2 linked regions of the Saccharomyces cerevisiae S288C genome follow. The main gene of each other region encodes a partner of the protein of the gene in region 2 in a complex. Each region holds a gene or a part of one and is shown on either strand. Other genes may lie near its edges. A codon is read from its position in the direction of its gene.

Region 1 (4,366 bases), on a different chromosome or scaffold from region 2:
GGCTTTGGTGTAGCAATTGCAGCCCACGACATTTTCTTTGGTTGTGAAGCAGATGTCCTAGAAGTTGTTTTCTTTGAAGATAAAGAAGGTTGCTCTATTTGTTTGTGTTCTTCTTTGTTATTATGCCCTTCCTGCTGTTGTTGCTCTTCTTGCTCTTTTTCTTGATTTTTCTCCTGCGCTTGTTGCCCTTGTGCTTCTAATTCTTCATTATTGTTATCATTTGAATCTTGAGGAACGTCATGTTTAGTATCTACAGAAACAGCTGCTGCCCACGATGTAGTGTTTGAAACAGGCTTGGATGGTACGTGCTTCCCCTTGTCGAGATTAACATGTTTCCCGGTTGTATGAGCTCGTGGTGTTTGTACCTTCTTCTTATTTCTGGCTTGAGTATAATTGTTACTACTGTTATGCTTTGTAGAAGTAAAAGAATTGCTATTATTAGAACTCTTATATGTAATATCATCTTCTGGATTTGGCAAATGTTGTTGAGGGACATATGAGTGTTGTTGCTCCTTTTTTTCATATTTTTCCTTCTTAGCAGGTTTCTTTACTTCATCCCATCTTGTCACTGCGCCGGAAGTAATTTTATCAATTATAGTTTCCAAATCATCATATTCTTGAACTATATCAATTAAATCATCACTCGTCCAGTCAGGGAACAATTCTGTAAGCGTATCTATTTTGGACTTTAGCGCAGGATTTAGTTTTTTACTACTATGACTATTATGATTAGACTTCCTAAATTGTGTAGACATTATATATATATGATGATGTAGATTATATTGAGAAAACGACCAAACAAAAATAAATATGTAAGTACTTTATGATGGTGATTTTTTTGGGGTAATTGGTAAGAGTTTTTCTTGTAGCTTCAAAAGATCAAATATAAAATACGAATGTTTCTGAAATTACTGTAAAAGACTTAGGAAAAGGAATGAAACGTTTATATGGGAGAGAACGAAAATTTTTCCTTTTCCCGCCACTACTTTTTGCCACCATTTCCCGTTATTTATTTGGGCGAGTGCTCACCTCCGACGGAATCACGGGTGACGGATATCCTAAAAAGGTAAAGAATTGAAACAGATCTATTAATATACGGATCACTATACATTATTATAAGTCGATATTGCAGTATTAGTATTTACATGTTGAATAATGCACATTCTGTGCTAAAATATATACTTCATTTGTCAACTTCTTTTAGTTTGCCGCCATTTTCAAACGGCGCCTCCTCCCTAGCTTCGTCTAGAGCAGGCTTAATACCTTGTTTGACGAGAGCTGCGTTGACACATGTAGTATAAGCGTACCATTGTTTTGAGCACTCGTTCTCAACGGATTTTCCCTTCAGGAATTTTTCGCTATACCATTCATTAAAACAACTATCGTATTTCGTCTTCAGGTCAGTGCATTCAGGCGCAAAACTAGCTGACATTATATTCCCCATATAAAACTGGTATTATTGTTATTGTAATTCAAGTTAAAACACAAACAGATGTTTTCTAATGACCTCTCCCGGCATATATCTGGCGCACTTAGAATAAATTTCTACATGCAAATACTCTGAATATTCTGAATGTGGCTCTCCCTATATCGAAGAAAAAATATAGCGGGCCCATTACCCTGCGTTCTGATATTCATCACTAGTAAAAATTGTATGTACTTATTTATTCTATCTATTCGTAGAAAAATGAATGATGGTCCCAGGCTTTGGTACTTCTTTCGTACTCTCTTCTTCATCGGGCCCTTCGTTGTTATCATCCGCTTGTCCCTTCGGGTGGTGGTGCCCCTGCTTCAGAGGCGAGCTCTCTATATTATTGCTGTTCTCATCGTCGTTATCGCCGTCGTTATTAATATGTTCTTCATGAGCCAGTTGCTTCCGCATTTTATTGGGCACAATCGGAGACGGTACCATGCTGGAACTAGACCCGTACTGCTGCTGCAAAAGTAGCGAAATCTTTCTTTTGCGGCTTTGTCTCTGTATTGTACTTTCATCTTGCTCATCATCAGCTCCACCATGACCCTCGCCTGTAAGGTCTGTTTGCTCCCTTGAAGGCACCGCCTCTGAACCAGTATCTTCGTCGCTAGAGTCCGGAAGTTTCAATATCTGTCCCGTGGATGTTATATTCGCTGTGTGGAAATCATCTATACTGTCGTTATTAAACATAGAATGGACATCCCGGTTGACATGTACAGCTGAATCTGCCTCGTTAGGCCCATTGTCTGTCTGGGACTGCCTACTCGCCTCTTCAGCGGATGTAGGAAATATACCAACATTATTGCTCACAAGGCTTTTGACTGGAGCGTTTCCCACTGGTGCAGCTGCATTTGCCTGCAAATTCACCAGCCCAGTCTCTTGAAACATAGTCCCCAGCCATTCGGTGCTATCCATGATCCGCTCACATATTTCTGAATATGTAGCCACGTGTGGGATGATGTCCTGGGTGATCTTATGAAAGCAGAAACTCAAGTTAGAGTCTATCTTCTGCAGGTTCACTGTAATTTCTTGATCAAGTTTTTCCAATGTTTCCTCTTTGCTTGCAGAATCCATTTTTTGTGTCAACAATCCCTTATGTTGCTCTTTCCATACGTTGATCAACCTGGCTCTATTCCCACCCCAAACTGTAGATATCTATTTTGTTGATGCCTCAGCTCACCAAAACAAACCAAAAAAACGGAAAAAAAAAACGGAAAAGAACGGAAACAAACGGAAAAGAACGGAAAAGAAAACAGGAAAAACTCGCTGTTCTGTTACCCGCGCGGCACTACCGCATTTAATCGGAGTAGCTACTAATCAAGCAAGGGCCTCCGTTCCTCTATGACGCACCGGACATATCGCATTTCCACTATAATAGTGCAAGTAGGACGGGATAAGGCCCAAGATTATCAATGAAGACTAACACAACGGTCTTGCCAGCCATATCCAACTCTAAACATCTTCCACGGCTGTTCAAAAACGAAGATCTCTTACCCCTCTGCGGCTTAAGGGCTCTGTTCAATTGAAGGATCCGCGGCAGTAAAGTAAATGGATGAAAAAAAAAAACTGGAAAAATAGCAACTTTTTTCAGCCTGGAAGATTTGTCATCTAAGCGAAGGAGAATGAAACCGGAATTTTCACTCCTTCTTAGGGGCATTCAGTTTATAAATATAGTTATTCCCTGAAGTTGAGATTTACTGATTTAACATCTGGACAACTAAAAACCTAAATAATAAGACACAATTTTTTGCGGGATTTTTTTTCCTTTAGATACTTTTAACATTCATAGTAAAAAGTTCTGCTACATAGTAAAAACACATAGAAGGTACAAGCAATAGCATGATTCAATTTAAAAGTCCAGGTAACTGGCTGTTCATAGTACCCTGGATTGCCTTCATTCCATGGTATGGTATGCTGATAGCCATGCTTATTTGCTGGGCCAGTCAAGGCCATCCCATATATTGGTTCATGCACTCGGAGCAATTCCCTGTGTACATTTCAGATATAGGTGCCACTAATTTAAGGCCACTGTTTATATCGTGCGCCGGCTGGCAGGGTCTAGGCTATGTAATCACTGTTGCCCTTGAGTTTTTTCAAAGATCCGGCTATCTGCCTTTCCAACTGAAAAAAAAAGACCCTTCTATCTCTGATTCCACATCTTATGCTGAGAAATTGCACAGCGGTAAATACTTAATGCCTCCATATTACACAAAGGATGAACGGAACCTGATTTTCGCAGCTTTTGTTCTCGGCAGCATTGGTGAACTAGCCCTTTTATTCAGTTCCATCTTCTCAACCGCCCTGTACCATCGCGTTCACATTGCTATGGTCTCTGTTTTCGTCGTCTTCATGTTCCTATCCACTTGCTGCTTGATTGCAGAGTATTTCCTCATGGGAAGGCACTATGCCTCAGTCCACCCCCTAGCCAGCCCTCATTTCAATCCTCAATCATCTGAAAAAAGCTTTAACCAAGATTATAACACTGTGGATGAGCTGCCTTGGTATAAATGGAAAGGCCATGTATGGAATAAATTTACCATCAGTGCAACTCTAAAAGTTATATGGTTAACTCTCGCAGTTGTATGGGCCATTTGTTTTGGTGCTATCAATGATAGATCTAAGAGTGCTTGTTTCGAATGGTTGCTAGCATTTTGGTTTGGTATCATATTTATGATTCTTTCCGCCGACTTTTATTTAGGTGGAAGATACAGACAATCCCGCTATTTCAACCACGTGGAATCATTTTCGGGTTATTACAAGTATGACAAGGCGCTAGGCCTCTACCACAGTGAAGACGTTTTGCCTTCGGACGATAACGCCGGCGTGATTGCCACAGAAACAGCATCTTCAAATATTTACAATAATTCCTCTTCCAACGAATCTATTCAAGTA
Region 2 (6,011 bases):
GAATTTTTTTTTTTTTTTTGCAGATTGTTTTTCATATTAATCAAATTGGGTGCCACTTGTAAGTCAATAAATGAAACTAAGCCTTTCCATACTTTTTCCTAACGCGCTTTGAAGAATTTGTTTTCCTATATATATTTGTATAAAGTACATATCAAAAACAACTGAGCGAAGCAGGCACACAAGGGAAATCAGTTAATGTCATTCTGCAGTTTGAACTTATCCCAAGCAATACTTAAAGTACTGAAAATATTCTCTGCAATCATCTTATTTTCCAGGGACAAGGACTCTGGTATCTTATCAGGATGTGTCTTGGCTACAGCTTTCATGTATGTAATTTTGACCCTCTTAGGCATAACCAAATCTTGCATAGAGACATCCTTCCAATTGCACCATGTTAGTAAGCTGGATAAATTTGCTAACAGATGACGAATGTCATCGTCTTTGCCATCCTTCCAGGAGCTAATTTTCTCAAATACTTTATCATATAGCGCCAGTTTAGCGTTTTCTAGCTCCCGTTTTTTTATTTCTGAAGTGCTATCAACAGAAATTGGAGAATTTGAAGAAGAAGCGGTTAAGTTCTGTTTTTTTGTTGCAGGCGAGGTTGTCGTTGTCTTCTTCTTAACGGGCATGGATTTTTTAACAGGGGGAGGATTAATAAAGTCTTGGCATCTTCTTTTTCCCTGCATGATTTTATCATCAAAAAAATTCTTCTTAATCAGCTCTTGGTATGTTTCTAGTGCTTTTTTGAAACTTTCTAAATGTTCAAAAGACTCAGCACGCCTAATCATAATCTTTGGCCAGATGTCGTTAAATGATCTTTCAGGGTCACTATTTGAGATTTTATTCTTCCACTTAGCTTTGCTTGATGGGAATAATTCCAAAGCCATGCTGGAGTTTTCTATGGACTTAGAGTACTCACCGATTTTCAGTTGCGAGGCAATAATGTTTGATAATGCAATGATCCTCAATGGATGATTTAAAGGCAATGTATTTAAAGACTTTTCATATTCTTGTAATGAGTTAATATAATCCCCGTTCTTGAACAAACTAGTACCTTTCGCCTTAAATTCGTTATACCCCGATAATTCAATATCTGAGATGGGTATTGTAGAGTCAGTGTTGCTGTTTTCATTGAAGAGGGTGCTATCTTCATTGCTTTTACTATTGGTGAGATTTCCTTCTGAAAAGTCGAGAAGACTATCCTCTATCAGGGGCTCATTTCTTCGCGAATTTTCTTCAATTAGTATACCAGAAGTCGGTGAGGAGGAGTGGGAGACATCAGGCGCTGTCCTCTTTGTTATATCAATCTTTGTTTCGAAATCAGTTAAAAGATCTTGATCCGGATTATCGGCAGGTGGTAAGTTCTCTACGACTTCATTATCTTCAAACAAAATTCTATTGGGTGAGTCGTTTACTTGAGGCAAATCATAATCCTCAACCTTATCATGAGTTTTTGAGTAATTATTCAGTCTATCATTTGCCTCAGGTGGGAAGGAGGTCCATTGGTCTACCAGTTTCTTACCCTTATTGAAAAAATCAGTGGCCATGCTGAATAAATTATTGCTATCTGTACCAACAATGTTGGATAATCCTGACTTTTCCATTTTTATACCACTTTCTTTCTTTCTTATAGCTAGATCGTTGCGCTCCTTTTGCTTTGACTTTAAAATCTCCAAATATCTTTCATAAGTTACGTCATTTTCGTAAAACTCAGTGGCTTCTTCAATTGATAAACCTAGAGACATCAATCTTGCTATTTCCATATCCTTAACTTCATCAACTAAGGCGTCATCACCATTGTAAAGGTGGTCTTCCTTGCTTCCATAGTAATCCTCATCCGGTTTTTGGATCGTATCCGTTGTAGTTACTGTGCCCATACCAAATAGTTGATTGAAGTCGTCATCGGTATTGGCAAGAGCCGAGGGAGGTGTGTTGTTGGCAGTATTAGATTTAGTGGTGCTATTAGTTGGGACCAAAGGAGGTGCAGAAAAATCTACCTTCGGTGACGGTATCAGCGGAGGAGCTGAAATTGAATGCAGACTATCATTGGGGCTTTTATCCGTCCTTGCAACATCTGCAACAGCGGAACCAGTAATGGAAGGCGAATTGCTGCTCTGAGGAGTTGTTTCCTTGGATGCAGATGCAGAGTCCTTATTCTTCAAAGAAGTCAGTAAATGTGCAAATGGATCTGACATTGATGTTGACTGTTTCTTGCAGGCTGCGTCCTTTCCAGAAGCACAGGAATAGGTTAAGCGATGTGCTGTTATTTTTTTCTCCTTTTCGCAGGAAACAGTGATCTTAAATGAATATATTAGAAACGGTATAGCATATATATATGTGTATATGAGTATGCGTATATAGAAAATTGGTGAATTAAAGAGGTGGCTTCTTGTTATTGGTCGCTTCCAGGTTGAATTGGACGCTACTATGGTAGTTATCACAAATTGCGCCCATGATTTCTAGATTTTTGTTCCGATTATTAATGGTCACAAGCTCCTGGTTAAGAATTGCCACGCTCTCATTGAGCCTTTTGACATTACCAATTATTCGCGAAAGTATGTTAGCCTGCACTTGTTCATGAGGGTTCTCCATGTTATGCTTTCTTTCCTAAACTCACTTCTTTTCCTCCCTATCTGCTTTTGTTTATTACAGTTGAAGGCTACTTGTGCCGTTCGTGTGAAAAAATACTCGATGAAAAAAAAAAAAAAAAGATGATGACGATGACTTTGTTGAAGAAATGTGTTTGAAGACAGTGGAGGATAACAGCACTCTCATCGCACTTTTGGAAGCGTATCATGAAAAGCGATTCAGTTGAAATCACTACCATCTGCCCAGATGTTGAAAATTCTCAGTTTGTTGTGCAAAGCAACTGTCCAGAGACTATTCCAGAGATTCTAAAGTCTCAAAATGCCGCTGTGAATGGCAGCGGCATCGCTTGCCAACAACGTAGCTTACCAAGAATCAAAATCTTGGGTACCGGTGGTACTATTGCATCGAAAGCTATAGACTCCTCTCAAACTGCCGGCTATCATGTTGACCTGACCATCCAAGATCTATTGGATGCCATTCCAGATATATCCAAGGTCTGTGACATTGAATATGAGCAACTATGCAACGTGGATTCTAAAGACATAAACGAGGATATTCTTTATAAAATTTATAAGGGCGTCTCAGAATCGTTGCAGGCTTTTGACGGTATAGTTATTACCCATGGGACTGATACGCTATCTGAAACTGCATTCTTTATTGAAAGTACTATTGATGCTGGCGACGTTCCTATTGTTTTTGTTGGTTCGATGCGTCCTTCAACCAGCGTTTCTGCTGATGGCCCTATGAACCTTTACCAAGCAATTTGCATTGCTTCAAATCCAAAATCTAGAGGAAGAGGTGTTCTTGTTTCCTTGAATGACCAAATTTCCTCTGGTTACTACATTACTAAGACGAATGCAAATAGTTTGGATTCTTTTAATGTTAGACAAGGCTATTTAGGAAATTTTGTCAACAATGAAATTCACTACTATTATCCTCCTGTGAAACCGCAAGGTTGCCACAAATTCAAACTGAGAGTGGACGGTAAGCATTTTAAATTACCAGAGGTTTGCATTTTATATGCTCACCAAGCCTTTCCGCCAGCTATAGTCAACTTAGTGGCAGATAAGTATGATGGTATTGTTCTTGCTACCATGGGTGCTGGTTCATTGCCGGAGGAGGTCAATGAAACCTGCATGAAATTGAGTTTGCCGATCGTATATTCCAAGAGATCGATGGATGGTATGGTGCCTATTGCCAACGTACCAAAGAAAGGTTCAAAGGAGGATAATCTCATCGCATCTGGTTATCTAAGCCCTGAAAAGAGCAGAATCTTGTTACAATTATGTTTGGCAGGTAACTACACGTTGGAAGAAATTAAACATGTTTTCACTGGCGTCTATGGTGGGTGAAAATTTTGTAATTTTTTGCATTTGTGTCGATATATATATATATATACATAGACACAGAGATAGAGATATAATTATGCAAGTCCCTGTTAATGCTAGTCTGAGATGAGTACAGGAATTCTTCATTTAGATTGTCTCGGCTATGTCACTTTTCTATCGTTTCACCTGCACATGGCTTTGTCTTGAATACTGAAGCCGTTATTATAGTTCTATCTTCATGTTTTTAGAGGTTTTTTTTAAATGAGTTTATTAAAATTAAATTTTGAATGTTATTTTTGAATAAAAATATAAAAAAAATAATATTAATAATTTTTCATTAACTGCTCATGATATCAGTGCATTAGAAAATCTTTTGGTTCCACTTTTCCTATAAAAATAATTCAAGTTTTATCATTATATCATTTTTAAATATTTGATTATCATCGCCCGCTGGTCACCGCATTTTTAAAGAATAAATATTACTTTTTTCGAAATCTGGTGTTTAAATATTTTTAAGAAAGTTAAAAAATAAGGAATATTTGATAAACAAAAAAAAATTAGCCTTTATATATCCATTTTTGTTTATGTATTCCTTTTTTTATTTTCTTATGTGTTTGGGATTTACTGTCGCAGTCTTTTCAAATTTTCCGGGCTAAACCGGAAGCCGGAAGGTCTGGGATAAGACAACAGTATCCAATACAATATCAGACTACAGCAAAAAGCTTATTCAGAGATCTTTACAGAAATCAAGGTCACTGCCGAACTATGTTACGAAGATCTATTCATACCACTAAAATCCTCCAAAAACCTAATGCTACTTCGCATATTTGGTCGGACTTTACCACAAGGCCTAGTTCACTTTCTATCCAATCTTCAAAAGTGAAAAATTACCTTTTCCAGAAGAAAGCTTCTCTAGACCCACCATCTATCAGCAGAAGAAGTAACCGTATCAAATATTCACCTCCAGAACACATTGATGAGATTTTCAGGATGAGTTATGATTTTCTTGAGCAAAGATCCAGTAAGTTTTATGAGTTGGCCAATAAGACTAAAAATCCCTTGAAGAAGGATGCACTTCTCATAAAAGCAGAGATCAATAATCCTGAGGTACAATACAATTTTCAGTTTAATAACAAGTTGAACAATGTTAAGGATATAATAGATTATGATGTGCCAGTGTACAGACATTTGGGGAAACAACATTGGGAATCGTACGGCCAGATGTTATTGATGCAAAGGTTAGAAACGTTGGCTGCCATTCCTGATACTCTTCCAACTCTGGTTCCACGGGCAGAAGTGAATATCAAATTTCCCTTCTCTACTGGTGTAAATAAGTGGATCGAACCTGGTGAATTTCTATCGTCCAATGTCACATCCATGCGTCCCATTTTCAAAATTCAAGAATATGAACTTGTGAACGTTGAAAAACAATTGTATACGGTACTGATAGTCAATCCTGATGTTCCAGATTTGAGTAATGACTCATTTAAAACGGCTTTGTGTTACGGATTGGTGAATATTAATTTGACTTATAATGACAATTTAATAGATCCAAGAAAGTTCCACAGTTCTAATATTATCGCTGACTACTTACCTCCGGTACCTGAAAAGAATGCTGGAAAACAGAGATTCGTTGTTTGGGTATTCAGACAACCCTTAATCGAGGATAAGCAAGGTCCTAACATGTTAGAGATTGACCGAAAGGAACTAAGTAGAGATGATTTTGATATCAGGCAATTTACGAAGAAATACAATCTAACCGCTATTGGGGCACATATCTGGAGAAGCGAATGGGATGCCAAAGTCGCCGCCGTCAGAGAAAAATATGGCCTACCACCTGGAAGGGTTTTTAGCAGAGTTAGAAGGTGATCCTAAATAGTATGACATTATAGTATCCTGTACATATAAAATAACGTGTCATTGTTAATAAAGCTTGATGCAAATAATATAAAGTAAGAATCTGAAAAATTTTTGGAATGTGAATTTTGTTTACAATACGATACGTATGATATTAGTATGTTCTAGAATATATACATTTCATTTTTTTCCTTATTGTTTGTGCACTAACGAATGAAGAAAAAAATATGGAACATC

What was found. The genes of interacting proteins can lie anywhere in the genome.
Region 1: the proteins of DAD4 (region 2) and ASK1 are in contact, whole or in part, in a cryo-EM structure (PDB 8Q84), measured with the Saccharomyces cerevisiae proteins. Residues at the interface, in NP_710144.3 of Saccharomyces cerevisiae: Asn3 (codon at 2,586), His5 (codon at 2,580), Val8 (codon at 2,571), Gln9 (codon at 2,568), Ile12 (codon at 2,559), Leu13 (codon at 2,556), Arg15 (codon at 2,550), Ile16 (codon at 2,547), Asn19 (codon at 2,538), Val20 (codon at 2,535), Arg22 (codon at 2,529), Leu23 (codon at 2,526), Ser26 (codon at 2,517), Val27 (codon at 2,514), Leu30 (codon at 2,505), Glu33 (codon at 2,496), Leu34 (codon at 2,493), Ile37 (codon at 2,484), Arg40 (codon at 2,475), Asn41 (codon at 2,472), Leu44 (codon at 2,463), Met47 (codon at 2,454), Ile50 (codon at 2,445); in NP_012872.2 of Saccharomyces cerevisiae: Leu10 (codon at 2,521), Glu11 (codon at 2,518), Asp14 (codon at 2,509), Gln15 (codon at 2,506), Ile17 (codon at 2,500), Thr18 (codon at 2,497), Leu21 (codon at 2,488), Gln22 (codon at 2,485), Ile24 (codon at 2,479), Asp25 (codon at 2,476), Leu28 (codon at 2,467), Ser29 (codon at 2,464), Cys31 (codon at 2,458), Phe32 (codon at 2,455), Ile35 (codon at 2,446), Thr36 (codon at 2,443), Ile39 (codon at 2,434), Ile40 (codon at 2,431), Val43 (codon at 2,422), Tyr46 (codon at 2,413), Ser47 (codon at 2,410), Cys50 (codon at 2,401), Glu51 (codon at 2,398), Ile53 (codon at 2,392), Met54 (codon at 2,389), Leu60 (codon at 2,371), Gly61 (codon at 2,368), Phe64 (codon at 2,359).

The regions. Positions count from the first base shown.
Region 1 is NC_001143.9:337,999-342,364, forward strand, and holds ASK1 (Ask1p), read right to left. Parts: upstream 2,549-4,366; coding exon 1,670-2,548; downstream 1-1,669. Other genes in the region: DNA damage-responsive RNA polymerase-degradation factor DEF1, read right to left, coding at 1-755; MDM35 (Mdm35p), read right to left, coding at 1,184-1,444; SFK1 (Sfk1p), read left to right, coding at 3,314-4,366. UniProt on the Saccharomyces cerevisiae protein: Component of the DASH complex that connects microtubules with kinetochores and couples microtubule depolymerisation to chromosome movement; it is involved in retrieving kinetochores to the spindle poles before their re-orientation on the spindle in early mitosis and allows microtubule depolymerization to pull chromosomes apart and resist detachment during anaphase.
Region 2 is NC_001136.10:1,105,907-1,111,917, forward strand, and holds DAD4 (Dad4p), read right to left. Parts: upstream 2,593-6,011; coding exon 2,374-2,592; downstream 1-2,373. Other genes in the region: auxilin-like protein SWA2, read right to left, coding at 189-2,195; asparaginase ASP1, read left to right, coding at 2,796-3,941; mitochondrial 54S ribosomal protein mL38 MRPL35, read left to right, coding at 4,683-5,786. UniProt on the Saccharomyces cerevisiae protein: Component of the DASH complex that connects microtubules with kinetochores and couples microtubule depolymerisation to chromosome movement; it is involved in retrieving kinetochores to the spindle poles before their re-orientation on the spindle in early mitosis and allows microtubule depolymerization to pull chromosomes apart and resist detachment during anaphase.